2 linked regions of the Saccharomyces cerevisiae S288C genome follow. The gene in region 1 interacts genetically with each later gene. Each region holds a gene or a part of one and is shown in the gene's direction. Other genes may lie near its edges. The genes, in order: AYT1 and DDI3.

Region 1 (4,051 bases):
CCCAAATCTGTAAAATATATACGCATTTATTTCCTGGCATCTCTTCGCTATCCCCGCAAAAAGTTAATGAAAAAAAGCCATTCCTGCAGGAACTGTGGAAAAGTAAAAACTGTGGCATGAAAGTACTACCAAATTGTGGCGAGGTATTCAATGGTAATAGCAAAACAGCAACAACGCCAATTTGAAAATGTACTACTAAGGAAGATAATTTAAACAGACAAGTTGTAGAAGAAATCTGAATCAGCAACTTTTAGTGTGCAACTTGAAAAAGTAATCAAAAAACAGATGAAGCGCATTCCAATCAAAGAACTAATAGTTGAGCACCCCGGAAAAGTTCTTATCCTTGATGGTGGACAGGGTACAGAATTGGAAAACAGAGGCATTAACATAAATAGTCCGGTATGGTCTGCAGCTCCTTTTACGAGCGAATCCTTTTGGGAGCCATCTTCTCAAGAGCGAAAGGTGGTAGAAGAAATGTACAGAGACTTTATGATTGCTGGCGCAAACATATTAATGACAATTACTTACCAGGCAAACTTTCAAAGCATATCTGAGAATACCTCGATTAAAACTCTGGCTGCTTACAAGCGTTTTCTCGATAAAATCGTGTCATTTACTCGTGAATTTATTGGTGAGGAAAGGTACTTAATCGGGAGTATTGGCCCATGGGCAGCACATGTATCCTGTGAATATACTGGTGACTATGGTCCCCATCCTGAGAATATTGATTACTACGGCTTTTTCAAACCCCAGCTGGAGAACTTCAACCAAAATAGAGATATTGATCTTATTGGTTTTGAAACGATTCCAAATTTTCATGAGTTAAAGGCTATTTTATCCTGGGATGAAGATATTATTTCGAAGCCCTTTTATATTGGGTTGTCGGTGGATGACAATAGTTTGCTACGAGACGGTACCACTTTGGAAGAAATTTCTGTCCATATAAAAGGCCTCGGAAATAAAATTAACAAGAATCTCTTATTAATGGGAGTTAACTGTGTCAGTTTCAATCAATCGGCATTAATTCTTAAAATGTTGCACGAGCATCTACCTGGCATGCCTCTGCTAGTTTACCCAAACAGTGGAGAAATCTACAATCCCAAAGAGAAGACATGGCACCGGCCGACTAATAAGTTGGATGACTGGGAGACCACGGTTAAGAAATTCGTTGATAATGGTGCGCGCATTATTGGCGGTTGTTGTAGAACGTCTCCTAAAGATATCGCCGAAATTGCATCAGCTGTAGATAAATACTCCTAATTCAATTTCTTTTAACAAATATCTTGTATCTACAAAACTAAAAGCAGTGTATATACGTCAATGTGCGGTCCTCAGCAGAAGGTTATTTTATCTTGATCAAATAGAAAAATCATTAGAACTTTTTACTGCCTGCCCTATTTTGGTTAATTTGCACACATTTCAGTGCATATTTTTCGCCAATCCGTAAGTATTTGGAGGCACGTCCCGGACTAAAGAGGATATTCTAGATACAGAGCTTCAAGTGCTATATACGGAGGAAGATATAAAGATAGTGCCAGCTTGAAGTATCACGGTATGCATTTCTATCTTATTCACCATCAAAAAATACGTGTACCCCCTTGCTGTGGCATGCTAGAATGCAAAAAATGATACATAATTTCAGACCACTTAATCTCATGGTTTATATACAAATATGAAACGTTTTGCAGGTAACTGATGGTCTCTGAGTGATGAGAGTTTCTATTCCAATAACGTTAAAGCTTTTACAGTGTATTTATCAAGATTTTAATGTTTAAGACGTGCATAATGACGGACGTGACTATAAATTTCACTTTGAAGGTAGATGGATGTTTAGAGTCAAGATCATCTCTCAGAAACGTACAAAAAGTGTACAGATGCTAGAAAACGATCAACTTGATATTTTGGGACAACAACCTTCGCTATACAAACTATACACTCAAATATGCTCTATCTACCGTGTACCAGATCCTTCTGCTCATGACCATATCGTAAATACCTTAACAAGAGGACTTGAAACATTGGCTAAAAATTTCCAGTGGCTAGCAGGAAATGTCGTAAATGAAGGTGCTGACGAAGGTAACACTGGTACCTACAGAATTGTCCCGTCAGACAAAATTCCACTTATCGTCCAAGATCTTCGAGAAGATCTGTCTGCCCCAACAATGGATTCGCTTGAAAAAGCTGACTTTCCTATCTACATGTTAGACGAAAAGACTTTTGCGCCTTGCATGACTATCAATCCACCTGGAAACACTATAGGTATGGCCGCCAAGAGTGGGCCTGTATTTGCAGTTCAAGCAAACTTTATCTCCGGCGGCCTCGTCTTAACTATTGTCGGGCAGCACAATATTATGGATATAACAGGACAGGAAAGTATCATCAACTTGCTCAATAAATCTTGCCACCAAAAACCTTTCTCTGATGAAGAACTGCTCATTGGAAATATAGATAAAAGCAAATCTATTCCTTTGTTTGATGAAACTTGGGAACCCGACACCACGCTAGTTCATGAAATAGTGGAAACCTCTAGAAATACAAGTGGAGAGGAAAAGGAACAGTCTTGTTCTTCGAACTCTACTTGGGCTTATGTTGAATTTTCTGCTATCTCATTGCAGAATCTGAGGATTTTGGCAATGCAGACATGTACTTCTGGCACAAAATTTGTCTCCACTGATGATATCGTCACTGCTTTCATCTGGAAATCAGTTTCTCGAGCCCGTTTATCTCGACTTAAACCAGAAACGAAATCAAATTTAGGGCGTGCTGTGGATGTTAGAAAACGGCTAGGACTCCCCGAAACGTATCCAGGGTTATTAGTCAACATGACCTTTAATACAGGTTCCCTGAAAAGCTTGGATCATAAAAGTTTGGGCGTTCTTGCATCACAGATTCGCAGGAAGCTAGACCCTAAAGTCTTCGATTTGGCCTATAATACATGCGCACTTGCTACGCTCCTTAGCCGATGCCCGGACAAGACTAAGGTTTCTATACCTCAACCAATTGATACTTTATCTGGAATTATGGTCAGTTCGTGGGCAAAAGTCAGCCTGTATGACGTTGATTTCAATCTAGGGCTTGGGAAGCCCAAGAGTGTACGACGGCCGCGCTTCATTTCCCTTGAGAGCCTAATATATTTTATGCCTAGATCCTCCAGAGGTGAAATGGTGGTTGCTCTTTGCCTTAGAGATAAAGATTGGGAGTGCCTGAATGCGGATAAAGAATGGACAAATTATGCTACACATATAGGATGATGATATGTAATATATTACCAATAGGCCACCTTGTTACGTAAGTCAATATGGCATGCATTCATTCATTATAGTTAAAAAAAAAAAAATAGTAGGAAGTATTCAAATATAGATAGTTTTGTATAGTTTTGTTATTTTTTTAAAATCTTTGTAAATCTCTACATTACACAAATGACTTTTATGTTTAAAAGAGATGAGCTGCGTTACATCGTAGCCTTCAGATACGTTAGCAATAATAAAAAAATGAATAAATATTTACTACAATTGAAACTGCCACCTGTTTATCATTTTTCAATAAGGAGATGAACTAGGCCATCAACAATTACTAACACGCACACACGCACTACTACAACTACTTGATTTTGAATTATATGATACCAAGTGCCTATGATTTACTTAATAACAACGCTCACTGTATTGTTTTATTATCGAAATATAAGACGATGAAATTGAAGATGAGAAGTGAACCACTCACACCATTCCGCCAAAAATCACATTAAAATTTCAAAAAATTACTTACGCGGATACAGAAACCCCCTTCGGCAGCTCTTTAGATATCAACTATTTGACTACTATCTGCTTCTCAGAAGCCTACAAGTACGCAATTGTTTCAATGAATTTACTGAGAACACCTAAAACTACAGATTCTAACAATATACGACTCCCAACACATGTCTGCTATTCTTAATTAAACTTTTAGGAAAGCTATAATATAGTTATTTTTCTTCCATGGAAGCCGTTTAGAACAGACTGAGTATGGGCTTTAACAATAAGCTTCTGTACGAGGGTCCAAATCTAAAATT
Region 2 (3,042 bases), on another chromosome or scaffold:
TGACAGAAATCAGTGTGCTATCATCCTACCATATGCGCAAAACTTATTGTCTTTCTCCTCCTAGAGATGCTGTATTCCATGCATATTCTGAACGATGGGTTGGTGTTTTTATCAAGCAAGGTTAATCACATGGCGTGGCTTGCTCCACGCATCAGTAGAAAACGCATACCGCAGCGGAATCCTTAAATAATAAGTGATTTTACTGTTCATCAACTACAATCGGACTCTTTCACAATTACCCTTCTTGTTTTCCACATTTACTGTTAAATGAAGGGATGTACAGAAGGCTTAGGAAAACCTGTGCTGAATACTGGATGGACACTGCATTCCCACAGTGAAGCTTTTATAGATACACTGCCAGTTATTTTCGAACTTTCATCAAGTTGCTGAGTTTTAGTATCCCTTTGCCTTAGCTATATGTTTGAATGAGCAAAATATTTGCAATGTCTCTAGCTTTCTTGAAATATTGGTTTATATTGAGGGCTTGGTAAGATTTCAAATTTCATTTTGAAGTGCTCAGGAGAAAAATCATGCTCTTTTGATAATTTGGTGACTAAACATACATAAAACAGTTTAATTTTGGGTGGTAATGGCTGTGTGACTAGCTATAGAAAGAAAAAAATTAAAAAAAAAAAAAAAAATCAAGTAGTTCCTGCACTGCGACGTCCATTATAGCATTATAAATTGGTCCCTGATTTACGCATGCGATAAACTATTTTTAGCGCAGCCGCATATTATCCGAGAATAACTTCCGACATAAGAAAATTCGCAGAAAATAGATAAAAAAACTGCTCTTGGCATTCTTCACTTCCTCTATTACACACTGTGTCATACCACAATCATCTCACAGTATGTATTTGTATGTTTATACATGCTATAACGTAAAACAATGTAGAATATATATCTAAATACCTCACGGTTTTAGTTTAGTGCAGCCCACATACTACTTTTTTCCTTTTGTTTTTTTTTTTTATATTTCAAAGGTTAAACTCGCTTAGACTATGTCTATAATATAAAAAAAAAATAGCTCTATTCCGTTTCTTTTATTCTATTTGATATTTCCATCACACTTTCATCTTAATCACGGATGTATACTGATAATAGGGTTGACTGCGCCTGTACGGATTACAGTGCCCTCTTCAATTGGAAAATCCAAGCTTTCAAGATGGGTAACTGTTATTCAAAGGATCCTCTAAGATAAAACACAGATCGACAGATCCGAGAGTTGGCTTCTGTGCCTTGGGCTCAAATTCCTTTCCCACCTCATGCAAATTGATTTTTCTGACTCCAAAAAAAGACAGAGCCCTGCGATAGTTCCCGAATGTTGTAACATCAAAGCCAAGCACTCCTTTATAGAAGTCGCATGAACGTTGAATACTAGCAGCTGGTGAAACTACAGGGTCTAAACTAACTAGTATCCATATCTTTTTGAGAGCATTGAAAGTATACGGAGTACAAGCTGGGTTAGAAGGAATTTTTATCTTAACAGCAATGAAAATCAACTTTCTAGACTGAATCCCTCAAGAAAATTGCAAAAGACTAACTGATACTGGTTTAAAAGAGAAAGATGTCAAATATGCGGAGTTATACCATCAAACAACTTTGGACGGCCCCGAAACAAATGTCCGCAAAAAAGATCTTATTAAAGTGCATGGACACTATCATTTCTATAATACAAAATACTCCACCGCACAATAGTTTGTCGGGAAGTCATCAATCAATCTTGTACGAGCTTTACAAATAACTTTTTAGGATCGGTCCCCTCATAAAATTATATATAAATGGGTTAGTTTCCTTCTTCTTCTGTTAACATGAAGTTGCTTCGTACTGTTTTTTGCCTTGCTTCTCTTCAAAAGAATCAATCATGTCACAGTACGGATTTGTAAGAGTTCCTAGAGAGGTAGAAAAGGCCATTCCAGTGGTGAATGCACCTAGACCACGGGCCGTTGTTCCGCCTCCAAACAGTGAAACTGCTAGGCTTGTTCGGGAATATGCCGCTAAAGAATTGACTGCCCCCGTTCTAAACCACTCTTTGCGTGTTTTTCAATATAGTGTAGCTATCATAAGAGACCAATTTCCAGCATGGGACTTGGATCAGGAAGTTTTGTACGTCACCTGCTTACTTCATGATATTGCAACAACAGATAAGAATATGAGAGCCACGAAGATGTCATTTGAGTATTATGGTGGCATACTTTCAAGGGAGCTTGTATTTAATGCGACAGGTGGAAATCAGGACTATGCAGATGCAGTAACTGAGGCCATCATTCGTCACCAGGATTTGACTGGGACTGGCTACATTACCACCTTGGGGCTCATTCTGCAGATTGCTACTACGCTTGACAATGTCGGATCCAATACCGATCTGATTCATATCGATACAGTTAGTGCCATTAACGAGCAATTTCCAAGACTGCACTGGTTATCATGTTTTGCTACGGTGGTGGACACTGAAAACTCGAGAAAACCGTGGGGCCACACCAGTTCTTTGGGTGATGATTTTTCAAAGAAAGTCATATGCAATACATTTGGGTATAACTAAATAGGTAAGTTTCAATGAGGCGAGTTCAGAATGAACAGTGATGATCTCCTTTCTCCATAACTATACTATACGTCCCTTTTATTTACTGTAGTTTTTAAGAACAAATTCTCTGATGAACCAGTCGTGAAACCGTATATCGTTTTCTGCCAATTCCGGATGAAATGATGTCGCAAGAATATTGTTTTTTTGCTTAGCGGCAACAATTAGTTCTTGACCACCATTATCCTTCCCATCTAATTTGTACAGGACCTGCACATGTTCAGGATCCAGCACCTCTTCTATTACTGGGGCTCTTATAAAAGTAGCAGGAAAATCATTGCAGTGAGGAATAAAGTTTGAAAAGTCGCAAATCCGGGTAGAAGACTGAGCTTGTCTCCCAAATGCATTTCTTTTTACTTTAACCTTTAGTAAATTCAGCGTCTTGACCAGTTTTGCTTCGTTAGATAATTGTTGTGAAATATAAATCAAACCTGCACAAGTACCCCAGGTTACCTTGCTTG

Evidence for each region.
Region 2: mutations in AYT1 (region 1) and DDI3 together harm fitness more than expected from each alone (negative genetic interaction), as found in Saccharomyces cerevisiae (one large-scale study listed by BioGRID).

The regions. Positions count from the first base shown.
Region 1 is NC_001144.5:13,848-17,898, reverse strand, and holds AYT1 (acetyltransferase), read left to right. Parts: upstream 1-1,826; coding exon 1,827-3,251; downstream 3,252-4,051. Other genes in the region: S-adenosylmethionine-homocysteine S-methyltransferase MHT1, read left to right, coding at 286-1,260.
Region 2 is NC_001138.5:7,681-10,722, forward strand, and holds DDI3 (cyanamide hydratase), read left to right. Parts: upstream 1-1,864; coding exon 1,865-2,542; downstream 2,543-3,042. Other genes in the region: SNO3 (putative pyridoxal 5'-phosphate synthase), read right to left, coding at 2,621-3,042. UniProt on the Saccharomyces cerevisiae protein: Cyanamide hydratase involved in the detoxification and/or utilization of cyanamide, a toxic nitrile compound distributed widely in the environment.